Linked DNA regions of Cricetulus griseus. Each later gene encodes a partner of the first gene's protein in a complex. Links are inferred from orthologs where the notes say so. Each region holds a gene or a part of one and is shown in the gene's direction. Other genes may lie near its edges.

Region 1 (4,063 bases):
CAGCTTCAGCGTGGCCCAATGAAAATCGCAACTAATACCCCAAACACGAAGTTTTGTCATTACAACCATCTCTAGATCTGTGGGTGGGAGATGAGGATCAGGATGACATCTGAGTAAACAAAACAGCTACGGCCTCCTCGAGGCTCCGGAGGGTGGAGGCTGCTACGCGCCTGCCCTCTGGGCCTCGGTCCCGCGCCCGCCCGCCCCTCACCTCTGGCTCCGGGCGCTCCGAGGCCATCACACAGCCCTCCCGCGCCGGCCCGGGCCAGGGAGGATGCTCCACTCCTGACCTCTGACCCAGCTAGCTCGGTACCGGGCAGGAACCGGAAGTCGTAGGGATGGCCGCGTTCTGAGTTTTTTGATTGGTGGGCACAGACGGCGGCGCGAGAAACCGGAAGAGGAAGTGGTTGCGCCAACCGGGCCGTGGCAATGCAGGTGAGAAGCCGGTTGGGCCTCCCAGCCGCTAGCCACCGGCTGGAGGGTGGGCGGGCCGAGGACTCTGGGAAGTTGGAGCTGTGAGGATAGGGCAGAGGCCTCGGCTGTTTGGGGAAAGGCGGCGAAGCCGGAAGGGACGAGGACAGCTGCGGGGGGCGCGGGGATTTAGCGCGCTAACGCCAGAGGGTCAGAGGCGTGGGTTAGGGGGAAAGGCACGGCCGACTTGCTTGACTGTGTGAAAGGATCGAATTGGCATTTGGGAAGGCTAGAGAAAGAAGTGGGCTGGGACAGCCCTCGACCTCGACTGTTGGGCACAGGCGCAACAAGGCTTCAGAAGGCTGAAGGGATTGTGGGCCGCCAAGGACGAAAACTAAGCAGTTTGTAATCCGAGGCTGTGGGTGGAACCTAGTATCCAACCTCATCCTTCACATTCTCGGGTTTGCAAATCAGCTTTGTGTCATTCTTCCCGCCTTGTACCCCGTTGCTTAGGGCGCAGAAGTGGAGTAAATAGACCACAGATGGTCAAACGGAAACCCTCTGCCAACACAGCATTTAAAATTGTCTAACGTCCAGAAAGAATGTGTTGGTTTCCTCGCCTTTGTCTTCCATTACTCAGTTTGTTGCACCTGGTATTCCTACAGTGACTGTTTATGGGTCACCCGAGTTTACGAAAGAGACACTGGAATACTGGCACAGAGATGCAGGAGTACACATTGACTCAGCAAAGGACCAGTTGGGGAGGGGAGCTGCAGAGCTGGTGTTCAGAGACAGCCTCAGATACGGGCAAAATGTGAGATTCTCCAGATTGTGTTGAGAGTAGCTGCACTCACAGGGCAGAGGATAATGGCTTGCATGTACTATAGAGGCACCCATGAGGTAATGAGATAATGAACCTCAGGTGTGCCTTCTGGCCTTATATGCCGACAGCACCCCTGTTACCTTGGCAAACCTTTCTAACATGTACTGAACTTTCTGAAAGAAATGTGGCAATACCAACTCCACAGAATGACACAATACAAGGATTCTCTATATGCCCAAGGAAAGCAGAGTTAGGACATCAAGCAGCTGCGTGGTAGGCAGACTGTTTTCCAGAAAAGGCTAGACTTAACAAAGAAGATTGTGCTTTGGCTTGAGCATCTGCAGATTAAGAGAATGTTGGCTTTTAAGAGAGGCAGTCTTTTGAGCTGGGAGGAGAAGAGAATCGAAGTGAAAAGATGAAGGGCTAAGTGATAAACAGTTCTAAGCCAGTTTTGTTATGAAGACAAAATGGTGAGGTCATAAGCAGAAGGGAATTAGGTCTGGTGTAATGTTCCTTTTGAAGGGCCATAGTGTAGGAGGTTGATAGAAGGAATCAATTGGTAAGAGGACTTCAGGCCAGGTGAACAGGTTGAAAGGTCTAAGGGTTGATGCTGTCTGTAACCCAAATACCAAGATAGAAACCAATTTAGCTTTTCTGTATGTGCCACGATCGCTCGTATCTGAGTAACCAAGCATACTGTTGATGCAGAGGGAGGAGAAGCAGCTTGAGGCATCCTTAGATGCACTGCTGAATCAAGTGGCCGATCTGAAGAATTCACTGGGGAGTTTCATTTACAAGTTGGAAAACGAGTATGACCGGCTGACTTGGTAAGGATTGCCAGGGCAAGCCGGGGAGGGAATCCATGGGTGGTGGGGCCAAGCCCCCGGGCTGACAGGACATCTCCAATGATGTAACTATTTATCAGTTTGCAAATATCCTTTTTGATTTGGCAAGAACTAGGTTGCCCAACATTGACAAGTATAGTTTGGCTTAAAGCCTCCATGGCAAGGAAGTAGAGAAATGCCCAGTTTCCCAACGTAGGCTGTTTCGAGGTTTTAATTCTTACGCTTTGACTTCTTTGGTGAGGAGGTGTTCCCCCAGTGGGGAACCATTAAAGCTATATTCATGCTGGATCTCCTTCCACAGATGTGGCTGAATCTGAGATCCACCCTACTCTGGAATGATGGATTCTGTTAACTAGGCTAGAAAGGAGGCTTTTATCCACTTAAAGAATTTTTAGTTACCACAGTGTAACCACAGTTTCTGTTTTCCACTACCTCCAATCCCATTCAAACAATGAGTTACGACTGGCAGTGGTGGCACACACCTTTAATTCCAGCACTCAGGAGGCAAAGGCAGGTGGATTTCTGTGATTTTGAGGCCATTCTGGTCTACAGAGTGAGTTCCAGGACATCCAGGGCTACACAGAGAAACCCTGCCCCCTCACCCCCCCAAAAGGAAAAGAGTTGCTTTTTTTCTACGTCTGTGTGTCCGTGTTGGAAATTGACAGTGTGCTCCTCTTTCCCAACTCCATCATCTCTGCTAGAAAATCTGGTTCTTGCCTAGGCTAGTCATAGGGCTGTGAGTCTTCTGGGGGTGAGTCTGGGTGTTCCAGCATTAGAACTTTAGAGATTACTTTATAGGGAAAAGTAGTTCTGATGACTTCCTACCACCCGCAGGCCCTCTGTCCTGGATAGCTTTGCATTGCTCTCTGGACAGTTGAACACTCTGAACAAGGTCTTAAAGCATGAGAAGACACCACTGTTCCGTAACCAGGTCATCATCCCTTTGGTGCTGTCCCCAGATCGAGATGAAGACCTCATGGTAAGAAGAAAGGATTGAACCAGGGAAATCAGGTCCTTAAATGAAAGTCTGGAGCACAGTTGTTGATTGGACCCTCTGTATAGCAATGAAAAGTAGGGGCTGCTATCTGGAAGACTTGCTTTTTTGTCCTTCTGGAGTCAGGAGTCACTCTTAAATAATGTTGTGAAAGCCAAGGCCATGTCAACTAAGTCCATGACCTTTCTTTTCCAAAAAAAAGTCTGTTCTGCTTGCCTGTAACTTTGTCCAATCAGTCTTTAAAATGTGGGGTTAGGAATTTAGCTCAGTGGTAGAAAAAAGTCCTGGTTTGGTCCCCAGAATGGGGGTGGGGAATCACGAAAGACCAAAACAAAATAGAAACAACAACAAAAAGAAAATTACAGTGCGGTTGTGGAGGGTGGAATTTATTTTGTCCTAGTTCTGATAGAGTGTATGTGAAAAGACAAAGCCACAGAAAGCTACATTTGTGTCTCAGGTTGTGTTGTCTCTAAAAATGCAGTTTCCCACGGAAGAGAAACTGGGTTAGAATCGGCTTACTTGGATAGCACAATAGGATCAATACAATCTGTGTTACAGCGTCAGACTGAAGGACGAGTGCCTGTTTTCAGCCATGAGGTCGTCCCTGACCATTTGAGAACCAAGCCTGACCCTGAAGTTGAAGAGCAGGAGAAGCAGCTGACAACAGATGCTGCCAGAATTGGTGCTGATGCAGCTCAGGTTGGACTGAGTCACTGCCCTGCTGCCCCATCCCCATCCCTTCATAAGAAGCAAGACTTTACCAAGCCTGGGTAGTAGGAGTCTGTGGTTGGTTACAGCTAGGCTGCCTTTGGAAGAGCACAAGGAAGATGCTTTCCCAGAGTCATTTCTAATCACTACATCAATTCCTGTGTGTTGCAGAAGCAGATCCAGAGCTTGAATAAAATGTGCTCAAACCTTTTGGAGAAAATTAGCAAAGAGGAACGAGAATCAGAGAGTGGAGGTAAGGAGGCTGGTTGGCAGAACAGAGTG
Region 2 (4,273 bases), on another chromosome or scaffold:
AAGATTGGGAGGACGTGGGTTTTCAATGTTGACAACCGGTCCTGCTTTGGAATATGTACTTTGTCAATTATTTACACTAATTTTTTGAATTGCTGTTCACACACTCTATTGATTCATTCGGTTTGCCAGTCATCTTGACTAAGGAGCAAGGCATTTTGTAGAAAGATGAGTTCTAAAAAGTAAGAAAGAAACCCAACCAAATGCCCATCAGAGGGTGGGTATGGTGTGCACAAGAGTGGAGTGGTGTTCAGACTTCAAGGGAGGGTATTTCTGGAACCTATTCCAATGTAGATGAAACTTAAGGGCATTTATGCTAAATGAATTCAGCCTGGTGGAGTGGCTCAGCATTCAGCATTGGTGGCTCATGCTTTTAATCCCAGCACTCAGGAGACGGAGGCAGGCAGATCTCTGTGAGTTCAAGGCCACCCTGGTCTACAGAAAGAGTTCCAGGACAGTCTCCAAAGAAATACAGAGAAACCCTGTCTCAAAAACCAAAAACAAACAAACAAACAAGCAAAAAAAAAGAGTTGGATATGGATGCTATTTAACAGCAATTTTGTTTTGTTTTGAGACAGGGTTTCTCTGTGTAGCCCTGGCTGTCCTGGAATTCTCTCTGTAGGCCAGGCTGGCCTAGAACTCAGAAATCTGCCTGCTTCTTAAGGTGTGTACCACCACTACTCTTATTTAACAGCAAGTTAAGGCCAGTGAACTCTATACATACAGTGGCTAAGATACTTAATTTAAATAGCCCAGTGGTGGTGGCAAACACCTTTAATCCCAGCACTCCAGGGCTTGGGGTGTGGCTCAGTGGGTAGAATGCTTGCCTAGCATGCTTAGAGCTCTAGGTTTGAGCCACAGGTGTGGTAGTACATGCCTAGACTACATGAGACAGTATTTAAAATTAAAAAAAAAACTTTTTAAAAATTAAACACTTGATATCCCAGCACTCCAAAGGCAGAGATAGGCAGAGCTCTGAGTTTGAGGCCATCCTGGCCCATAGAGTGACTTCCCGGATTAAAAAAAGATAGTGAATTTTATATGTATATATATTTTGCTACCAAACAAAAGAATGGGGGGGGGGGAAATGTTGGTTCCTGTCCTAAGATGTTTACTACAACCTCATGAGAGAACTATCTTAACGGGCTTGATAATATTATGGGAATGCAGACAAAATAAAAGTTAATAATTGTGCAATTCTCTCGCTTTCTTAAAATTCGTTTATTAGCAACTTCCCATTGCAGCTAAGGAAACAGGAGATCCAGGAGACTGGATAGCTCTCTCATCCTGGGTCCGGCTGGAGCAATCCCTCCTCTGCGCAGCAGATGGCGCCAGAACTGCAGTGCACCTCCAAGACCGTAGGCGGCGCTCTAGCGGAGCCTCTCTCTCACCACCTCTATGACTCTTCCTCCCGTGTTCCGGTTCCGCCCCTCCTGCCGCTAGCTCACTCTGCGCATGCGGTTGTTGGCGATCGGCTGGGCGATGGCGGCTTCTTCAAGTGGGGAGAAGGAGAAGGAGCGTCTGGGCGGCGTCTCGGTAATGGCAGGCGTTGGCAGCACGCGCGAGCGGCTGCTGTCTGCGCTGGAAGACCTGGAGGTCCTGTCGAGGTAACCGCGGCCCGGGAAACCTGCTCGGGCCGGCCCTGCTGTGGGCGCTGACTGGGGGTAGGCGGGCCGGGGAGTGTCGGGCCGGAGCGCGAGTGTGGGGCACCTGGGGTCTGCGGCCTTCCGGGGCTTTGGGCGGCATGTCCCCACTAAGGGGACATCTCAGCGACCTGGAGCCCCAAGACAGTAAGGAAGGGCCCGGTCCACGGACACTCAGCCCCGGAGTGCCAAGTGCAGGGATGCTGTAGTCGAGGGAGGCTGGGTGCCAGCACCAGGGAGCCCTGCTGGGATCACGAGCCGAGCTGCAGCCTTCTGGAGTCCACGGATGGGACCCCTAGTCCGGTGTAAGCAAGGCGAGCTTCCCAAACCAGTAGGCTGTCTGGGGAAGACATCAGACTCGTTAGGCGTCTGGCAGATGATCCCATCATCCCGGAAAAAAAGGTCAGAAACGTGCAGGACTTGGTGGGATGGCTCCTGTGTGGCAGAAGTAGATTAAGTTGGGTGTCATTCTCCATATTGTCATTATAAAGTCGATCAGTTGGAGCCTTGTAAGGGCAGAGCCCCATCGTCATGGCAGTCAGTGCTATCTTACAAGAAAATAATTTCCACAAGCTGTAGCCCTCCTGGATTCGGCCTGCAGACCCACAGTCCAGGTCAGATAGTTTTCTTGTAAATCACAACCATGAAGCCAGTAATCGGTTGGGACAGAGAGCAGTTAAAACAGTTTCTTTTCTATTTATTCTCACAGGTTTTTATTGTGTTCTTAAAAGGTTTCACTTGGTAGCTCAGGATGGCCTGAATCCCCCCTCCCCCCCACCACCACCCTACCCCACCCCTTTATCGAGTTTAAGGCAAGTACCACCGTACCCTGATGGTTGCTTTTCTTTTAGGGAACTTATAGAAATGCTGGCAATTTCAAGAAATCAGAAGCTGTTACAGCTGGATGAGGAAAACCAGGTAAACGGTTTCTTTTTTAATCTAAAAAAAAAAAAAAAAATGGTGGCTCACACCTTCAGAGGCAGGCAGATCTCTGAGTTTGAAGCCAGGCTGGTCTACAGAGTGAGTTCCGGGACAACCAGGGCTATGTAGTGAGATACTGTCTTGGAAAAAAATAAAATAAAACTCTGGTTTTTAAAAAAAGTATCAGTTTAAAGATTTCAAGTACGTTCTGTTCTCAAAATGAATATAAACATACGCTCAAACCATCTTTTTTGTTTTTGAGACAGGGTTTATCTGTTCGGTTGTCCTTGAGCTCTCCAAGATCTGCCTGCCAAGATGCCACCACTGCCCCTCTCTCTTTCTGGGTTTTTATGTAGCCGGGGCTTGCCTTGAACTTACTGGTCCTCCTACCTTTATCTCAGTGCTGGAATTGTAGGTGTGGTCAACACATCGGCCTGCTGAGCTCTTCTGTGTGTTCCAACCTCCCTTACATCATGAGTCCTTAGAATAGTCTGGCATACGATAGGTGTTATTGGGGAAGTTTTCTTTTTAGAGGAGAGAATAGGCTCATGGAGGGTGGTGACTTCTTTTCCTGTGACTTACTGCTAGCAACTGAAGGGTTACAAACTAAACCCCAGGCTTCTGTTCTCTCCTTAAAACTCTGCTTATATTTTGAAGGGGAAAAAACCCCAGCTCCCCCGCCACAACAAGATAGCATATTAAACTTGGTGGCATTTTTCCATATCTGCATACCATTTATTCATTATCTATTTATTCATTCTTTGTTTTTCGAGACAGGGTTTCTGTGTGTATCCCTGGCTATCCTGGAATTCACTCTGTAGACCAAGCTGGCATTGAACACAGAAATCCACCTGTCTTTGCCTCCTGAATGTTGGGATTAAAGGCGTGCGCCACCAACGCCCGGGTGTATCTCAAAGTTTTAAAGTGTTTGGTGCCAACTAAAGTCACTTCAAACCATTAGATTTTGGAAGAGCTTTTTATTATTCCGTAGTATAAGGATAATTTTTTTAATTTTATCTTTGGAAGATGAATAAACTTGAAATTTGCACAGTATTACTTCTGAAAGATATGTTCTACATGGAAAAGGACCAGAATAAAAATGGAAATTCTTGATATTAAAACTTGTTTCCTCAAACTACCCCAAATGGGCTATGTATATTGTTAATGCTGATTAAGACTATTCCGGGTGTTAAAACTGGTAAACCTAGCCAATTCAAGCATGGGTTCTTTGTCTCATTGGTGATAGCCTTGATAACCCTGTTGTCTGATGGAATCAACTATTATTTGACAGGTCTTGGAGCTGCTAATTCACCGAGATGGGGACTTTCAAGAACTGATGAAGTTGGCACTTAATCAGGGAAAAGTCCACCATGAAATGCAGGCATTAGAAAAAGAAGTCGAGAAGAGAGACAGTGATATTCAGCAGCTGCAGAAACAGCTGAAAGAGGCAGAGCAAATCCTGGTGAGTTGACGGTTGGTCCTGGAGAGGCGGCTGTTAAGTTCTCTCCTCAAAACTCTTGTTATATTTTGAAGGGAAAAAAAAAAAAACAAACCCAGGTTACCCTCATCCCCCCACGAGACAGCATCTCTGTATAGTGCTGGCTGTCCTGGAACACACTGTATAGACCAAGCTGGCCTTGAACTCAGAAATCCAGCTACCTCTGCCTCCCAAGTGCTGGGATTAAAGGCGTGTGCTGCCACCACTACCCATC
Region 3 (4,058 bases), on another chromosome or scaffold:
CCCCCTCTCCCCCATCCCCCGATCCCGGCTAACCCTCAGAAGTATAACAAATTCAAAATTAACAGGGGTCGCCCAGCTCTCAGGAGCACATGTGGTTCCCATTACCTGTTTCCCTTCCGTTTCCAGTCTGGATCTTTAAGGTAACCTCGGAGCCCGCCGCCCGCCCGCCCGCCCTCCTCCCGTCATCTGCAGCGGAGCTCCGGGTCACCCAAAGACGGGGGGTCGGGAGCCCGACACTTAACATCTCGCTTCTCTTGGTGTGGCCTAAAACTCCAGGTGGTTCTGACGCTTGCTTTCCTGCTCGGTGGGGCGTTCCTGTTTTCCAGCACCTGAGATGCAAAGCCAACAGGAAGGGGCGGATGCCGGGCTGCAGCCCCGCCACCTCGGGCACGGCGGTCCCTCCGGCCGGCGACGCGAGCGGCGCTTCCTCCTGAGCGGGTCGCGCAGGCCCTGTCGGAGGCGGCGGTGCCCTTAGGTCCCCTCTGCGCGGGTCATACGGGGACACGCACTGCCCCGCAGACCCGCGCCTCCGGTTTCCACCGCGGCGGCGGCTGCGCAGAACTCTCCCGAGGTCCTCGCGGCGCGGGTCTCCTTGGCGTCGCTCCTGAGCCGGGTCCCAGCCCCCGGCTGCGGCCCTTCATCCGAGGGGAGGGTCCTCCTTCTCCGCACCCCCGAGGCAGCCCGGAGGAAGAGTCCAAGCTCCAAGACCCAGCGGGTGCGCTTCCGTTAGGAAGCTCCGCCCACCGGTTTTTCGGAGTGGGCGTGGCCTTTAGACAGCGTCCGTTGCCCCGCCCAACTGCCTCCCAACGGCTCTCTGGAACGGGCCATGGGGCGTGGCGACGCGACCTGATAAACGCGCGTGCGCGCGCATGCGCAGAGGCAACAGAAGCGGCTCACGAGCCGGCCCCTCCCAGAGCCAGAGTCTCCGCCCGCCCCCATCTCCCAACCTCCTCAGCGTGGCGCCGACGCTGCGTGCGGCGCGGGTTACCCAGAGTGCTCAGCGCGGGGGCAGCTCACTGGAGTTTGGTTCTCGAGGCGGCGGCGGCGACGGCGGCGGCGGCGGCTTCTCCGTCGGCTCCTCCTCCCCCCCTGCTCGCAGCAGCGGCGGCGGCCCGGGGCCCGAGCTCCGGTCCCCTCCGCTTCCCTCCGTCTTCCGCCATCTCCCCGAGCGCCCCGACCTCCTCCGGCGCCGCGGGGAACATGCGGCTCCGTTCCCGGAGGCTGGCGAGCGACTGACCCGCGTCCCCCCGCCCCAGCCCGCCCGCCCGCCGGCCCGGCCGCTCCCCCCCGCTTCGCCCAGGCAATGACAGCGGCTCCGGCGTCTCCGCAGCAGATGAGGGACCGGCTGCTGCAGGCCATCGACTCCCAGAGTAACGTAAGTGACTGCTTGGAGAACGGGGACCGAGGCCGCATGTGCCGGGACCCTCCCCCTCCGACGCGCCCCCGGCCTGGGGGCCTCTCCCGGCGGCGCCCTGCCCGCCACAGCCGTTGCCATCTCGGCCTCTCGTTCTCCCGGGTCCAGGGGCCGCGGGCAAGGCGGGCAGCCCGGCGACTCAGGGTACCTGAGGCCGAGGCTTCACGCGGCCTGGACTGAGGGATCGCTCGGAGCCGAAATCAGACCTGGTTCTCCTCGGTTGCCTCGGCCAGATTGTCCTTGGTGCTTTCCACCTTGCCTCCCTGTCTCTCTTCGACCCCGGGACTTGAGACCCCCCGGAAGGGTCTCCCTACGGGGGTCAAGGTGGGAAGCAACTAGTGTCCCCCGATGACTCTGGTAGCCCGCGTCTCCCTTCGGTCTTCTGGCTGAAATCGTCTTCTTGGGCTCGGAGAGAACCCTAGGCCCTCCTTGTCCCTAGTCTTGCTGCTTGGGATCCCTGGAGAGTTTCCCTTCTTTTCTGATACTGGACAGACCCCAGTTTAATCCCTCCAAGGGTCGCTACCTAGGAAAGACGACCCTGCAGAAGGTGGGATCCTTCCTGTCACCTTTCTTGGCCTAAATGTCCCATTGTGTGTCTGACAAGCCTGGGGTTTTGGTACTGAATTCCTGCTCATCACAGTCGATTGTTCTCTCGCCCCTATTCTGGTCTTCTTTCCATCTCTCTTGCCCCACCTGAGGGACTCGGCCTGGTGTTTGGTCTCTAGGCTGTCAAGAGTTAACTGTATGGGGTCACTTTATGTCACATTTCCCTCTGCTAAGCGTCCTATGAGCAGAGGGACACCCTTTCTTCCTGTGTGAGCATAGGCTAATCTCACCTGTTGTGTTTTTTCCAAAGGTTTGTTGGCAGTGTAGGGAGGGGGTGAGGGTCTTTGTTCCTGGAAGCAGCAGGGCCATGAGAAGATGCACAAGCATCCAGGTATGAAGTGTTTGCTGGGAGACCAGGAAGTGGCCTTTGAGATCACTTTTTAATATGCTCAGGATGGAAAGAAAAATCATCTTGGGCTTGGCCAGGTAACTGAGGTTTGAGCAGGGAGCTCTTTTGGTTCCCTTACTTGTGCTTGGCTTGTTACTCTTAGTAATGTGCCATATTCTGGTGTGTTCCAAGAAATTCACATTAGTTGTGCAGTCTTGGTAGAAATGGAGGTTTCCTGATCTCTGGAAGAATCTGCTTGCCAGATTCAAAGTAAATCTCTTCTTCCTGATCTTGAGGCCCTATTAAGATCACCTTGATACTGATTTAGCCAATATTTTAGACATTTTTGGTGGGTGGAGTAAGGACAGGCTAGATAAAATCTTCTAAAAAGTCTTTTTTTTTTAAATGTTTTTTAAAACAGTGACTGATATTACTGCAATTACATGATTGAGATATTAAAAGATACAAACAAGTGATGTGAAAAATGTAACCTCAGTGGCTTTTGCATGTTTTCTGAAGCTACAATGTACACAGTGGATTTTTTTTTTTTTTTTTTTTTTTTTTTTTTTTTTTGAGACACGGTTTCTCTACCTGTAGACCAGGCTGGCCTCAAACTCACAGAGATCCACCTGCCTCTGCCTCCCAAGTGCTGGGATTAAAGTTGTGCGACACCACTGCCAGCATCCACAGTGTAATTCTTAAGTCCTGTATGTTGACTCGTGAGAAATCACCAGGGATCCTGACTGCTGCCTGTGAGAGTGCTGGGATCAGCTAGTGCTTTGATAGGCAGTAATGATGCTTCGCTTCAGGTGGGGCAGCCTTGCGGGTAAGGCTCTGACTAAAGGATTCTTTTGGGGGTAAAAGAAGGAAGATAGAGGACTCAAATTTTAGTGTGTGAGTGTGTGTGTGTGTGTGTGTGTGTGTGTGTGTGTGTGTGTGTGTGTATTAAGACAGAGCCTCTGGAACATACTATGTCCTTTGCCTTCCGAGTATTGGGATTAAAGGCGTGGGCCACAGTGCCTGGTCCCCAAACCTTTGCTTTTTGAATCTTACCTTGGGCCTAAGTGTTAATATACTCCTTCACCTGTGGGTAAGTTACTTGGAGTGGAGTGTGTATCTCAAAGGGCTATAGGGATAAGTGACCTCATTGTGATGGCTAGAGTTGAGAACTTGTCTCTTAATGAGGAGGGAAGTTTTTCTCTAAATGCAGTGTATCAGTAACTATTCATGAACACTGTCATGTGCTGGCTTTGCAGGACCTCTTTGTAGAACTCAGCCTGGAGGACTGTCCTTGATTTCTTCCAGAGGCATTGAAGGGTACTTTTTCTGGATTGTTCAGGGCCCAAGTAAGAGCTGTGTGCTGGCACAGGGCTCTGCTCTGCCCAGTTATGAGCTCTACCACTTGGTAATTGACACATATTTAAGATGTTCATGGAAAAAAATACAAAATGGGGACACAGTTGAAGAGCTTACACTAAAATTAACCCTCTTGAGAGAAAGTGACAGAGATTGGTGTCATGTAATGCTTACCTTTATGAGTGCAATCATAGCTAACAAATTTAGCTGTTGCTTGGAAAGTCAGTGCCAGGCAGCTGACCTACTGTCCACAGTCTCTGAAATTGGGAGCAGCTCCTTGACCAAGGAGGTCTCTAGAGGAAGGCCAGCTCTGCTGTGTGTTCTAGCTTCTGAGCAGCAAGCACTGTCCTTTCT
Region 4 (3,968 bases), on another chromosome or scaffold:
GAGTTCGAGACCAGCCTGGTCTACAAGAGCTTGTTCCTGGACAGCCTCCAAAGCCACAGAGAAACCCTGTCTCAAAAAACCAAAAAGAAAAAGAAGGATTGATCTGGCCCTACTCCTGTTTATATTGTGTTCCAGGTATTTAGGCTCCTATCAGTTTCCTACTAAATGTCTACAAGGCCATTTTCAGAGCCTTTACGGGTTGCTTGATGCTGATTTTCATTCAAAAGCTTGAAGTAGGGAATGTAGTTCAGTGGTACAGTGCTTGATTACCTGTACGAAAAGGAGGGTGGGACTAAAGGGAGTTGTTGGGGACTATAAATGGATTTTGAAGCCACAGGCTGAGTTATCAGTCTTCTTGGGATCTGAGTTTGGGAGTCAAGAAAAAGAGGGGTTATAAAACACTGGTCTGTGGCCTCCAAGTGTGTTTTATAGGGTGGTCTCACCCACAGTACTACATCACATTTTCTTTCTCTAGGCCTTCTTTGTTTGTTTGTTTTTGCTTTTCCAGACAGGGTTTTTCTGTGTAGCTTCAGAGCCTACCCAGGCTCTAGACCAGGCTGGCCTTGAACTCACAGAGATCTGCCTGCCTCTGCCTTCCAAGTGCCAGGAGTAAAGGTGTGCGCCACCCACATCTGGCCTTATTTTTTTCCTTACTTCCTTACAGTATTCAGGATCAGGGGATTCTGGAAGCACTGTCAAACTTTGGAGTGAAATGGTGGTATGTGTACAACTAGCCACACTTCAGTGTCTCTTTTGGAATAGAAACGAGACCTCTAGTGGCAACAGGAAGGGGCTTTGGAGAACAAAAACCAAAAACCCAACAGAAGCCAGGTTGGAACACACTGCATATATAACACATAACACCCAAGTTGTGTCTCGTTACAGGGAAATAACCAGAGTATCAGAATGACTGAAGGTACAGATAGATGGCTATGACATTGAGAGACAGAGTGTTTCTTCCCTAGGCCCTGAGTCTCCTGGTACAAACGTACCTCAGCTCTCTGTATCATCTCAGAGAAAACCTACCAGGAAACAATTACACTAATGCTTTAGCTTGCTTGTGGGCAAAGACAAAGCTTAAGGAACTACAATTCCCAGAAGGTACTGTGGCAGGACTTGCCTCTCGCTACGTTTCTATTGGTCGGTGTCTGTCAACGCGGGCCAATAGTAAATGAGTACCTTAATAGGTGCCAAGATGGCGCTGCCTACGATGTAGAACTCGGTTTTCCGGTAGGCTTAAATTTGGGGAGATGGTGAATGAAAGGAAAGGGAGAATTACAGCTTCAGCGCCGAGGAAGGTAGAGGAAATGGGGAATGAGTAGATCTGGGTTTGGGGTGGTAGTGGTGAGGGGCACAGCTAGAGCGAAGGGCATAATTCGGCAACCGGGGCGGGCTTAACCCCTTCCTGCTCTCTTGAGGGCTTTGGCGTGGCCCGTTTGATACACCTCTGTCCCAGTTCAAGGAACGATTGCTCAGAACGGGAGAGCGTGACAGAAGAATCTCTACCTTGCCGCCCCGGTTTCTACTCTGTCTAGTTTTTCTGTCTCGCTTAAGTCTTTCCGAATTTCCCTTGTGTTTATCTCTCCCATGTGATTTCCCTCAGAACCCCATCTCTCCTCTCGTAGCATTTTTAAACGCCCACCCCGCCACCGGTCCCGCCTCCTTGGAGTGAAATCATGAAGGTGGTGAACCTGAAGCAAGCCATTTTACAAGCCTGGAAAGAGCGATGGAGTGACTACCAGTGGGCAATCAACATGAAGAAATTCTTTCCTAGAGGAGCCACCTGGGACATTCTCAACCTAGCAGGTGTCCAGTACAACGTGAAGGACGGATGGGGCGGGGTGAACCCCGGAAAGCTCCAACCACTTAGCCTTTCTTTAATTCCCCTTGCAGAAGCACTCCTGGAGCAGGCCATGATCGGACCTTCCCCCAACCCTCTCATCCTCTCCTACCTGAAGTACTCCATTAGTTCCCAGGTAAATATTCCCATACCCCAGCCTTTTGGAGGTAAAACATCTGGAGAACAGTTTTCAGTTTATTTTCTTATAAGGCTAACACTTCATTTTTTGTGATGAACATTTCATTCATATGCTCTCTCTATATACATTTACAATTAAAAGTTTATATAATTAGGTGGAGGTTAGAAGACAGTTTCGTGGAGTCGGTTCTGTTCTTCCCACCTTCATATAGATTCTCTGAGGATTTGAACTCACATCAGCAGGATTTCATGCCAAGCGCCGAAATTTACCTGCTGAGCCTTCTTCTTCTTCCTTTCAAGACAGGGTTTCTCTGTGGCTTTGGAGGCTGTCCTGGAACTAGCTCTTGTAGACCAGGCTGGTCTCGAACTCACAGAGATCCGCCTGCCTCTGCCTCCCGAGTGCTGGGATTAAAGGCGTGGACCACCACCGCCCAGCTCCTGCTGAGCCTTCTTGCTAGTCCCTTGTTTTATTTTTGAGACAATGCTGAGGATGGACTTAAATTCCTAGGGCCTGGATGTGCTAGGCAAATGCTCCATCACTGAGCTATATAGCCCTACTCAGTATTTCAGACAGTGGTAGGCCCTGGGGATTTGGTCCTAGTACACAAGGAATGTAGAAGGTGATGCAGACTACCACTAATAATTGACAGGATATGTTTAGGACACAGTATGGAAAAAATGGAAGGAAAACATGGATATGATACCTAGGCCTTTCTGAGCAGTCAGGGAAGTTTTCTAGAGGAAGCAATTTCTTTTTTTTGTTTGTTTGTTTTTCTTTTTCCTTTTTTTTTATGGTACAATGGTTTTATTCTATCTTTTTTTTTTTTTAATTTATTTATTGTGTATACAACATTCTGCTTCCGTGTATATCTGCACACCAGAAGAGGGCACCAGATCTCATAATGGATGGTTGTGAGCCACCATGTGGTTGCTGGGAATTGAACTCAGGACCTCTGGAAGAGCAGCCAGTGCTCTTAACCTCTGAGCCATCTCTCCAGTCCCCAGTTTTATTCTATCTTAATCTCATTTGGTGCTTTGTTTATCTGAGCCTCCACCCCCACCCCCACCCCCCACCCCCCTGTTTTGTTTTTTGAGACAGGGTTTCTCTGTGTAGCTTTGGAGCCTATCCTGGCACTCGCTCTGGATACCAGGCTGGCCTGGAACTCACAGAGATCCGCCTGCCTCTGCCTCCCGAGTGCTGGGATTAAAGGCGTGCACCACCAACGCCCGTCGAGGAAGCAATTTTTTTTAAAAGATTTATTTACTTTATTACTTAACGTGCTTGGGTGTTTTGCCTATATTATGTCTGTTCAAACATGTTCAGGCAGTGCCTGTAGAAGCCAGAGAAGGGCGTTGGCCCTCCCTGGGACTGGAGTTACAGACAGTTGTGAGCTGCCCTGTGGGTGCTGGGAATCAAACCCAGGTCCTCTGGAAGAGCAGTCAAGTGCTCTCACCCTCTGGCCTTCTCTCCAGCCCCTAGGAAAGTGATATTTATTAGAGCTCTTGGTGTTGAGTTGGTGTTAGCCACACACATTAATGAGAGTGGAAGGCAGAGAGAAGTATACACAGGGTGGGACGGAGAAATGACAAGACATTTGTTACTGAAAGTAAGGGCTGGAAATACAGTTCACTGGTAAGGCATTTGCCTAGCATGCACAGGGCTCTGGGTTTGATACCCAGTGCCACAAAGGGGCTGAAGTTAATGTGGCATTGCTACAGCAGAGCTGGACTCTAACATTGTACACACACTTGATATCCTAGGGATTAAAACAGAAACTTTAGGCACACTTGTTTAGAGGCAGGGAGGTGGTTCAGGTAGGAGAGTGCTGTCTAAGCATGGACAAAGTCCTGGGTTTTTGATTTTTTTTTTTTTTTTTTGGAAGTCCAGGGGTAATTTTACCAGCATATAAGGGAAAGCACAGTGTAAGTGAGGTAACAATCCTGGCAGCTGCCAGGAGGAGGTGAAGAAAAAGTCATACCTTCTAAGTCA
Region 5 (3,945 bases), on another chromosome or scaffold:
AAATATTTAGATAGGGAAGGAATATTAGCTCTATGTTCCACAACCTTCACAGCAAATGTTAATTGTTCTGAAATTAGTGCTTCTAAAATGGTGAGAGGCTCCCCCCTCCTCATGTTTTTGTAATCTCTGTTTTTCTATCCTCCCTGAGGATGATAGTATGTGCAGTTACAGTGGCCAGGGTAGTCGTGCGGTTGCTTTTCCACCTAAGTAATTTTGTTGAGTTAGCGATCTAAGTCGGCCTATCAGAGGGTTTTGAACAAGATTAGATAGCACTTTGTGAACGCTGTGTGACCTTGGGAAAGTCGCCCAACAACACTGAGATCAATTTGCCAAATAAATAAATAAAATAGCTACACTGCGATCAATTTGTCAAATAAATGACTAAAAGTGGTGTTTCTACTACTGGCTTGCCTGCCTTCCTCGCCGGCGCTCCAGGAAGCTTGGCATCACTGCAGAACCCTGTTTATGTGTGGAGAAACCCTGGGATCTCTCTCTCCATCTTAAACAAGGAGGTTAAGACTAGCAGCGGATTTCCATTCAGTCTGTCAGATGGTTACATCCCCAAATCTCCCCCACACTTTCATATGCACCTGCAGGGGCAGGGATGGTCAACGAGAGCTGAGGCAGGGGGCGCTCACCCAGTCAAAGTCACACGGGTTACCATCTTCGCGCTGCGTGGGGAGACCGTTGCAAATCGGCGGCAGTTTCCTCACGAGGAGGAAAGCAGCGGAGAGCAGGGCAGACAGAAGGCAATAAGGTCGAGCCAGCCATCGAGAAAGCCGCGGCACCGAGTACACCAGAGCAATCAGAGGCGCGAGGACAGCCATCTTCCTTGCCGGTTCTCTCGCAGGCTCCGTTCGGCCCCCAGCCCTTCCCTCCGCTGCCCCCCACCAGCGAGGCTTCTATTGGGCCAAATATCAGATGCAACGCCTCCGGACCCGGATGTAGATCTCTTATTGGGTGCTATGATAGATGAGAAAATGAGTTAGACAGTCTATTGGTCCATAGAGTTGTCGCTCTTCTACCTGAGTCATTTTATTGGCTGTAAGACTGCGAACTACTTCCCAAACTGTCTCTTAGAGCGACGGAAGTAACTACAGGAAGGTGGTAGGCGGGGCCTAGTGTATCCAATGGCCGGAAGCTCTTCGAGGACGAGGGTGGTACCCTGGGAAAGTACTGGCCAATGAAAGTCATTAACGCCAGATCCCGGGTAATGCAGGAGCCGAGAGTGCTATGGAGAATTTCACCGCGCTGTTTGGAGCTCAGGCTGACCCCCCACCACCCCCAAGCGCCCTAGGTTTCGGGCCTGGAAAGCCGCCCCCGCCACCTCCGCCTCCTCCGGGAGGTGGCCCAGGCACGGCCCCGCCCCCGACGGCGACCTCGGCCCCTGCGGGCGCAGACAAGTCGGCTGCTGGAAGCGGCCCCTTCTACCTTATGCGGGAATTGCCCGGTGAGTAGTGGGGTCAAAAGCAGCCAATCAGGTACTGATTAGGTGACGGGTGTGGCTTTCAGCCTGCTGTGCGAGGCGTGAAGCAACGGGCGACGCGTGGCCAGCGGGCAACTCAAGTGTCAGAAGCTCTTGGGCGATTCATAACCCTAAGAGAGAGCTTGATTTCATGGGATGGGTTTGGGGTGGGTGTGACTATCTGGGACTACTGGCGAAAAGTTCTGTGATCCGGTTCTCTGACCGCCGTTTGTGACTCTATAAAAACGTGAGCCATTGTTTGGAACTCGGGAGACCTGATTTAACAATTTTGGAGACGCTAAGACTTTAAAGTCTGTTAGGTGTATAGTAAGTAGCCATCCTTGTCAGGGACTCGGAGATTGACATGTTCAAAGAAAATATTAAAATTGAATTAATTCTTTCATTTATACAATTATTTGGAAATTGGGGGCGCATGGCTCAGTGGTAGGACTCTTACCTGCCATGCATGAGTTTTCACAGGTCTTCTCTGAGTAGATAGCATTCAAGAGTAAATAAAGTTATCGGTGGATAGAAAAGAGATACCTATAGATACGAGAGACTTGATCGATCAGGAGGCGGGGGGTGGGGGGGAAGCTTAGAATATCTAAGGGGTCGAAGACAGATTGGACTCCAGTAAAACAAACAAATCCAGTAGTGATGGGAGATAGGCAAAGACCTTTATAAGGCAATGTAGAGTGTTTAAATTTCAAATTGAAGCCATTTCAACATGGGTGCAAAATGATCTAATTTATTGATTTTCAAATATTCAGCAGCAACATGAGGAATGAAAGTAAGATAATCGGATGTTACCAGCCATTGTTCAGGAAAGAAATAATAGTTTGGACTAAATCTTAGCTGTAGAGAAGTGAATGGATAAAGGATACATGTTAGAGGCAGAGCCTACAGAAATAAATATAAAAAGAGAGAATTGGGGGTGTCTTCTACAGAGGGTATGATAGTCTGAGAGTAAGAAGTTGTGGAAAGAAAAAGTTTGAAGGCCTAAAAATCAAGAGGTGTTAGTCTTAGGGATTTGTGGTACTACACACCAGCACTTAGGAGGTGAAGGCAGGAAGATCTGGATTAAAGCTCAGCCTAGGTGACGAGATCCTGCTTCAAAAAAGGTCCTCAGTTCATTCCAGTAACTATTAGCAAAATAATTTCAATTTCATATCAGTGTGTAACAATATGTAATACTTATAGCCCTTTTAGATAAGTATTGTCTGTGTTTTATAATTGAGAAACTGAAGCATAAAGAAATTGACTGTACTTTAGTGATAGGTGTCTTCCAACAGTTTTCTTTATTTTAGTTGTTTTGATTTTGAGACAGGGTCTCACTGTGTAGCTCTGGCTTGCCTGGAATTCACCGTAGATCTGACGGATCTCAAACTCACAGAGATACACCTGTCTCTGCCTCCAAGTGTGTGCCACCATGCCCAGCTTTCTTTATCTTTTGCATTACCTGTTCTAATTGTACTTGTTTGTGTAAATCAGTTGACAAATAGTGATTTCTGTTCTAGGCAAATGCTGGATATGTGGGAATGGAGGGAGGGATGGTGTGAGAAGTGGAGATTAGTAAGCCTGGTTTTTAGGTAGCTTTTTTTTTTTTTTTTTGAGATTCAAAATACATGGTTTAAGGGCTATGCTTGTATTTTTTGTTGGTGTCAATCTTATTACTTTGTAGTCTTGCTTCAGATATCTTAGGGAAAATATTAAGAACTACTTGATGGTTTTCAGAATGTTGTTAGCCAAAATGACAGCAAGAATAAGCTGTCAGCCGGGCAGAGGTAGTGCATGCCTCTAATCCCAGTACTTGGGAGGCAGAGACGGACAGGTTGTGGGTTCGAGGCCAGCCTGGTCTACAGCATGAGCTCCAGGACAGCCAGGGCTGTTACACGAAGAGCCTTGTCTCGGAAAAAAAAACTAAAAACAAAGAAAAGAAAAGAAAAACAATTTGAATGGAAGAGTAGTATAGTGGTTGATTAGGCCCCAAAGCTAAGTTGGCATAAAAGTATGAGTAGAAAGACTGGGGATGTGGCTCAGTTGGTAGAGTACATGCTTAGTAAGCATGAAGTCCTCAGAAAGGGCCAGGAGAACTGGAGAGATGGCTCCAAAGTTATGAGGTTAAGGGCACTTGGTTCTTTCAGAGGACTCCAGCTTGGTACCCAGAACCTACATGAGAGCCTCACAATTACCCCTAACTCCAGCTCCAGGGAACCCAACACCCTCTACTGGGCTCCACAAGCAATCAAATAATATGTGGAATGCATTCACACATCACAACACATATACACACAAATGAGGTAAAATTAAATCTTTCAGGCTGAGTTCACACCTTCAGTCCCAGAACTCTGGAGGCAGAGACAGGTGATCTTTGAGTTCAAGGCCAACTTGGTCTATATAGGGAGCTTCAAGGCATCCAACGAGAGAGGAACAGACAGAGAGACTGTCTAAAAATTTTTTAAATAAATCATTTTTAAAAA
Region 6 (2,174 bases), on another chromosome or scaffold:
TCCAGGCTGCCCTGGTCATTGGTTGGTAATTTTTTTCCTCAGCAGTGAAGCTTCATGATACAGTGACAGATGTCATAAGAGCCTCTTCCTCCCACCACACCCCTTTATTTTCAGGATGCTTTGTATGGGTTTATCTTTGAGAAATTAACAAGTGCTAGTGTCTTTTGTGCTCAGAAAGGTTTTTTGTTTGTTTTTATTTTTTTCAATGCCATTACTGTAATTATGGGTACCTGCCTTCTGCTGGAATGGTGTGCCTTTCTAGATGTCTGCTGCACAGACCCTCTTCCCCCAGATGGGCAGGGAGGGGGTGGCAACAGAAGATCCTAGGCACAAAGCAAAAACAAGACACCCTGCACATCCATCCGTAGGCTGTTATCTTTCTTTTGCCTCAGCAGACACCCAGCTGATGTGTGGCTGCCCTAGCTTCCAATCCCCTCAGATTTTATTTATATATGAAAAAGAGTAACTTGTTTATTTAACTGCTCTGGAAAGCACCAAGGAGATAAAGGAAAACAATAGGGGTGTTAACAACATAATCTTTAATTAGAAAATAATTGATGGCCATTCCCTTTTTGTAAATGTTAGTTTTAAATCTGAGATCATCTTGTCTTGGACCCTGTCCTGTCAGAAGAAGGAAAAACATACTCTGAAGTCACTGATGGTGGTTGGGGGTAGTGTTGTCTGGTTCTGCTCTGAATCTGTGTTCTGTTTCTTTAGGTTCTTGATTGTCGACAATGGGTGAACCACAGCAAGTGAGTGCACTCCCACCACCTCCAATGCAGTACATCAAGGAATATACAGATGAAAATATTCAGGAAGGCTTAGCTCCCAAGCCTCCCCCTCCAATTAAAGACAGTTACATGATGTTCGGCAACCAGTTCCAATGTGATGATCTTATCATTCGCCCTTTGGAAAGTCAGGGCATTGAACGGCTTCATCCTATGCAATTTGATCACAAGAAAGAACTGAGAAAACTCAATATGTCTATACTGATTAATTTCTTGGACCTTTTAGATATCTTAATAAGGAGCCCTGGGAGTATAAAACGAGAAGAGAAGCTAGAAGATCTTAAGCTGCTTTTCGTACATGTGCATCATCTTATAAATGAGTATCGACCCCACCAAGCAAGAGAGACCTTGAGAGTAATGATGGAGGTCCAGAAACGGCAACGTCTTGAAACAGCTGAGAGGTTTCAGAAACACCTGGAACGAGTAATTGAAATGATCCAAAATTGCCTTGCTTCTTTGCCAGATGATTTACCCCATTCAGAAGCAGGGATGAGAGTTAAAACTGAGCCAATGGATACTGATGATAACAGCAATTGTACTGGACAAAATGAACAACAAAGAGAAAATTCAGGTCACAGGAGGGACCAGATTATAGAGAAAGATGCTGCCTTATGTGTCCTAGTTGATGAAATGAATGAAAGACCATGAGTATTTTTTCTTTTAGTGAATAGCATCATATATTAGTTTATTTTCTCTTGGACAGTCTTAAGAGGTATAACTAAAAATATAAAGGGACTTTTCTCAATTGAAATGCTGTAGGTGATAATTTAACAGTAAGGATAGGCAAGGAAGTATATTTGAGTAATGATCATAAAAAAGCAGAATGTTTGCTATTGAATGGGATAGTCCTATTTTTGGAAGTGGAATAAAAATTTTAAGAAATATTGAACTGTCATTCTTACGGGGGAGTTATTTCCTTTAAGACTAATAAAGGGCATCAAACTGTACATGTGAAATTACAAAATGTTTAGATTTATTCCAAAACAATACAGGAACTATTTTCCTGATGACTGTTCTACAAACTCAGTATCACAGCCGCTTCTTCCTTATCTTCCATAAAATATCTGCTAGGGGCTTCCCCTTCCCCCCAGTCAGGTAATCAGTCTTCGGTCACTAAGTTTATGTTCATTTTAGACATTAAAATATCTTATGTGCTAACTATATTTCCTGTGTTAGCTGTCTATGTGAGTGTGAGTGCATTTCCTGCAGAGGCTAAAAGGGTGTTGGCTTTTTTTGGAGTGAAGGTGGTTGAAAGCCATTTCTGTGGATGCTGAGAACCAAACTGGTACTATACAAAGAGCAGAATGTGAGCCACTGAGTCATCTCTCTAGCCTCTGCATTATTCCTTTAAAGCCGACGTCTGGTGTTAAATCTGGAAGTTTGCAA
Region 7 (3,962 bases), on another chromosome or scaffold:
CCCTGACCTATTTAAAAAATAATAAAAGCCTGTATGTGGAGTACTGTGTATAAAAACTTAACATAGGAAAGCTTATTATGAAATACAAATAAAGGTCAATTAATAATCCATGAAAGATGATTCTTTGTTCTATTGGTTTCAAGCACTATATAATCAAGCCAGTGGTCATGAATTCATGACAAGTTTGGTCCTTCTTCGCAAATTTCAAGTGGTCAAACCATTCTAGAGGGACCTCAGGCTACGAAACTTACCTGGTGCAGAGACTCAAAGAGCCTCTTTGTCCATCATCAGCCGAGTATATACGCACCGCAAGTCTGAAGCCCTTCTGTGCTGGCTTCGAGTTAAATAGTACACTGGGTCAACAGCAGGGTGGTCTAAGGTGATGCAATCTCAATACATGTTGGCAGCACCCAGAAACCACAGCCTGTTTCTTACATTGATTTACAGGCTGTTTCCATGAAACCAAAGATGCTTGGCTCTCCTGGAAGCTGGCTGGCTGGCAAATGGAAACACTTCAGTGCTGGCTAAGGGCCATGGCCACTTCATCGGGTCATTTTGGCACTCTGGCGAGCTGTTTGCTTGTCCCTCCTGGCTGGGCTCTCTACACGGTGCACAGTCGTCTCCACCCGCAGGGATGACGACGCCCTGACGTGGCTGGAGGACGTCTCCGTGCACTGCGAGGAGGTTTCCACGTGCTGGGAGGATACCTCGAGGAATCTAGGGAGTCGCTTCGCGGAGGAGGTCAGGGAGGGTCCCTCTCGGTGGCGCTGAGAGGTCTCCACCTGACGAGAAGACGTTCGAACCTGCCGGGAGGACGTCTCCACGCGGTGGGATGACGTTTCCTCGCGGTGGGACGACGTCTCCACGCGGATAGTCGACGTTTCCTTTTGGCGGGTGCTTTCCACTCGCGGGGCGAAGGATTTACTCCTAAGGGGCGAGGCCATCCTGCTGGCACACCCAGGTCAGAAGGGACACAGAGGCCCAAGACTCATGCTCTGTGTCACGTCACACAAGGGACGGTGACGTCAGGGTGATGAGCTACGTCAGTGTAGGCTGCTGCGGGCCACATAGGATCTGCGAGCAACGAGCTCTTCCAGCACGCGCCGCTAGATAATTGCTCAGGCTGCCGGCCCAGACCACACAGATAGGCGGGGCCTCTCTCCTCAGAAGGAGGCTGTCTCCGCCCTCGCGTCCCACATGCCCCGCGACCGGAAATAAGAGCCGTGGCTTCCGGATCCTCCCTCACCATTTGAAGCCGCGGTTGGGTCGGGCTGGTTGTGTTCGCGTCTCTCTCCTCTCTGGTTATGGCCGCGGCCGTCGCTATGGAGACAGGTTCGTGGTGTCGTGCTCCTGGAGTCTTCACCGAGGGAACGGGTCCTCCCCCCTTCTCTCCGGTTTCCCCGCGCCGTCTTTCGGGCTTAACCCGGCATCCTTAAGGAGTTGGGATCGGTGGGGGAGAAGGCGGTGTTGTCTCTGATTGTGGCCTGTGTGAACGACATCTTTGCTCCTGGGCTGCTCACACCTCCACTCCCTGGCTCGCGGGCCGGGGTGGGACTGAGGGAGAGGACCGAGCCCTTCAATTGTCTGCTCTATGGAGCTTTTCCCGTGAACTTGCTTGAAATGTTTGTAACGTGTATGGTTCTGATACGGATTACCGTCTCCTCCCCGCTGTTTAATCATTTTGCATCTTGCTTCCTGCTTTTATTTAGCACTTTGTTTTTGTTTAACTTAATCACTGTTAGTAGTTGTGGTTGTAACGCTAACATTGGGGGTGGCACAGCTATTACAGACCAACCAGTGATCTCTGTTACCATCCTCCCATAGTGGCCTTAAATAGCCGTTTCGTTTATTTTTCTCAACTAACTTTAGGTAATTTATTATCTTTGTTTTGTTTTGAAGACAGGGTCTCACTATGTACTACTGCCTAGCCTGGAACTGGCTATGTATACCAGGCTGGCCTGGAATTCACAGAGATCCTCCTGCCTCCCCCTTACAAGAACTGGGATTAAAGGCATGCACCACTCGGCTTGTTTTGTTTTAAACCAGGCTCCACTCTGAGATTTCTAAGGAAATCTCTCCTGCAGTTTGGTATTTGTTTCATAAATTCATTCCTATGGGGGTGGGCGGTGCATGCCGAGGTCAGAGGACAACTTGCAGGAGTCTACTGTTCCTGCAACCCTGCGGGTTCCAGGGATGGAGCTCAGGTCATCAGACTTTTCTGTGAGCACCTTTACATGCTGAGCAGTCTCACTGGCAGTTTGTTTTTGTTTCTACAAATCATTGGTATCGTGACTTTTATTTTGGGTGTCTTTTACTTTTTTCTCCTAGATGATGCTGGAAATCGACTTCGGTTTCAGTTGGAGTTGGAATTTGTGCAATGTTTAGCCAACCCAAATTACCTTAATTGTAAGTCGAGTACATCATTAAGTTGAGTAGCTAGCTGTTAATGATTTCTGACAGAAGAGATGGAATTCATAATAGTATTTACTTCGGTATGTTTGAATGGGATTTTACTTTCGATGGTCTGTAGTTATTAACTGAGCAAACAAGGACTTGTGTTTTTTAATTCCTTGTGTTTTGATGGTAGGAATGTTAAAAGAGCTACTTTATTGTAGCGATTACAAGTCAGTAGTCCAGCAGTTGGTTGACATACAGATTGTTTCTTTATGCCTTTCAGTTCTTGCCCAAAGAGGTTACTTCAAAGACAAAGCTTTTGTAAATTATCTTAAGTACTTGCTTTACTGGAAAGAACCAGAATATGCCAAGTATCTAAAGTAAGTTTAATTTTTATAATCTTAAATCTGTGTATACTTTATTATAAATACGAAGTGCTTATATTTAGCAGTTTTCTCGGTGTCAGAATGGCAAACTATGTTTTGAATTTTTCTGCTTTTAGTTCATGTCATGTCATTGTCATTTCTAATTTGAATTGTTACAGTAATCTCACTTATTTCTGCTGTCATTCTTACCTCACTCCCTTCAAACCAAACAAAGCCAAACAGTTGTCTGTCAAAACCAATTTACTGTCTTAGTAGTATAAATCAGAACATGCCACTTCTATTCATGTAGGATAAAATCCAGTAACTAGTTTTAGAGTAAGACTCTGATTTGATTTGGTCTGTCTGAACTTGTCATTTAGCATTCCCCTTGTCTCTCTGGGTTTCTAATGCCTTCCAACCTATAAACTACTAAAATGTAGTGGTATAGCCATAAGCTGAAAATGAACATATAAGAAGTGGTGTTTTCTGGGAGTCTTAGACTTACTGTCTTCTTTATAGTTTCCTATGTGTCAAGTACTGTGCTAAATGTATCGTGCACATTAACTCACTGTAAACAAAAGAAAGACAAACATGAACACTGTCAAGTTGTTTGATAGACAATTGTGAGAAACATCACAACTACACAGCTATCCCTTTGAATGGTAAAACAAAACCTTGAACTCACCCCTCTGCTTTGTCTTAATTAAAAAAGAAAAACAAGCTGGTACACACCTTTAATCCCAGCATTTGAGAGGTAGAGGTGGAGGTGGATAGATCTCTGAGTTCAAGGCCAGCCTGGTGTACAAAGCTACTTCCAGGACAGCTAGGGCTACACAGGTAAACCCTGTCTTGAACTCCCCCTCCCCTAAAAGGGTGGACAACAACAACAACAACAAACCCAGAAATTTTAGCCTGATGCCCCTTTAATCCCTGCTCTCAGGAAGATCCGGCAGATCCCGGTGAGTTTTAGGCCAGCTTAGTTATGTAGCAAGTTTCAGGCCAGTCAAGGCTACATAGACCCTATCTTAAAAATTAGAGGGAAACATTTCAAGCCTTTTCTTTATATCCTAGTCACTTTTCTGAATTGATCCTGGACTGCCTGTAGAACAGATTGCACCGGATTTGCTCTTTATGATGCAATTATTGATTCCTTTAGGAATCTGAAGGAGAGACTTTTAAGTTATTAGGCTGTTATAACAGTGC

The links.
Region 2: Med8 (region 1) and Med4 share a complex: the UniProt entries of both Homo sapiens proteins name them as parts of the mediator complex. The link is inferred for Cricetulus griseus from reciprocal best matches to the Homo sapiens genes MED8 and MED4.
Region 3: Med8 (region 1) and Med26 share a complex: the UniProt entries of both Homo sapiens proteins name them as parts of the mediator complex. The link is inferred for Cricetulus griseus from reciprocal best matches to the Homo sapiens genes MED8 and MED26.
Region 4: Med8 (region 1) and Med24 share a complex: the UniProt entries of both Homo sapiens proteins name them as parts of the mediator complex. The link is inferred for Cricetulus griseus from reciprocal best matches to the Homo sapiens genes MED8 and MED24.
Region 5: Med8 (region 1) and Med19 share a complex: the UniProt entries of both Homo sapiens proteins name them as parts of the mediator complex. The link is inferred for Cricetulus griseus from reciprocal best matches to the Homo sapiens genes MED8 and MED19.
Region 6: Med8 (region 1) and Med7 share a complex: the UniProt entries of both Homo sapiens proteins name them as parts of the mediator complex. The link is inferred for Cricetulus griseus from reciprocal best matches to the Homo sapiens genes MED8 and MED7.
Region 7: Med8 (region 1) and Med31 share a complex: the UniProt entries of both Homo sapiens proteins name them as parts of the mediator complex. The link is inferred for Cricetulus griseus from reciprocal best matches to the Homo sapiens genes MED8 and MED31.

The regions. Positions count from the first base shown.
Region 1 is NC_048595.1:33,902,819-33,906,881, reverse strand, and holds the start of Med8 (mediator of RNA polymerase II transcription subunit 8), read left to right. Parts: upstream 1-1,263; 5' UTR 1,264-1,278; coding exon 1,279-1,311; intron 1,312-1,942; coding exon 1,943-2,061; intron 2,062-2,913; coding exon 2,914-3,058; intron 3,059-3,631; coding exon 3,632-3,772; intron 3,773-3,952; coding exon 3,953-4,034; intron 4,035-4,063. Other genes in the region: KICSTOR complex protein SZT2, read right to left, coding at 212-238. UniProt on the Homo sapiens protein: Component of the Mediator complex, a coactivator involved in the regulated transcription of nearly all RNA polymerase II-dependent genes.
Region 2 is NW_023276807.1:228,014,915-228,019,187, forward strand, and holds the start of Med4 (mediator of RNA polymerase II transcription subunit 4), read left to right. Parts: upstream 1-1,473; 5' UTR 1,474-1,479; coding exon 1,480-1,604; intron 1,605-1,629; exon of another isoform or gene 1,630-1,926; coding exon of another isoform or gene 1,927-2,042; intron 2,043-2,131; exon of another isoform or gene 2,132-2,254; intron 2,255-2,491; coding exon 2,492-2,558; intron 2,559-3,852; coding exon 3,853-4,023; intron 4,024-4,273. UniProt on the Homo sapiens protein: Component of the Mediator complex, a coactivator involved in the regulated transcription of nearly all RNA polymerase II-dependent genes.
Region 3 is NW_023276806.1:247,288,613-247,292,670, reverse strand, and holds the start of Med26 (mediator of RNA polymerase II transcription subunit 26), read left to right. Parts: upstream 1-1,258; 5' UTR 1,259-1,303; coding exon 1,304-1,375; intron 1,376-4,058. UniProt on the Homo sapiens protein: Component of the Mediator complex, a coactivator involved in the regulated transcription of nearly all RNA polymerase II-dependent genes.
Region 4 is NC_048600.1:111,813,063-111,817,030, reverse strand, and holds the start of Med24 (mediator of RNA polymerase II transcription subunit 24), read left to right. Parts: upstream 1-1,168; 5' UTR 1,169-1,230; exon of another isoform or gene 1,231-1,298; intron 1,299-1,625; 5' UTR 1,626-1,676; coding exon 1,677-1,806; intron 1,807-1,893; coding exon 1,894-1,976; intron 1,977-3,968. UniProt on the Homo sapiens protein: Component of the Mediator complex, a coactivator involved in the regulated transcription of nearly all RNA polymerase II-dependent genes.
Region 5 is NC_048599.1:90,852,325-90,856,269, reverse strand, and holds the start of Med19 (mediator of RNA polymerase II transcription subunit 19), read left to right. Parts: upstream 1-1,145; 5' UTR 1,146-1,233; coding exon 1,234-1,450; intron 1,451-3,945. UniProt on the Homo sapiens protein: Component of the Mediator complex, a coactivator involved in the regulated transcription of nearly all RNA polymerase II-dependent genes.
Region 6 is NC_048600.1:60,992,662-60,994,835, forward strand, and holds the end of Med7 (mediator of RNA polymerase II transcription subunit 7), read left to right. Parts: exon of another isoform or gene 1-21; intron 22-717; 5' UTR 718-734; coding exon 735-1,436; 3' UTR 1,437-1,674; downstream 1,675-2,174. UniProt on the Homo sapiens protein: Component of the Mediator complex, a coactivator involved in the regulated transcription of nearly all RNA polymerase II-dependent genes.
Region 7 is NC_048600.1:86,054,533-86,058,494, reverse strand, and holds the start of Med31 (mediator of RNA polymerase II transcription subunit 31), read left to right. Parts: upstream 1-1,162; 5' UTR 1,163-1,304; coding exon 1,305-1,332; intron 1,333-2,328; coding exon 2,329-2,406; intron 2,407-2,677; coding exon 2,678-2,774; intron 2,775-3,962. Other genes in the region: uncharacterized protein C17orf100 homolog, read right to left, coding at 543-944. UniProt on the Homo sapiens protein: Component of the Mediator complex, a coactivator involved in the regulated transcription of nearly all RNA polymerase II-dependent genes.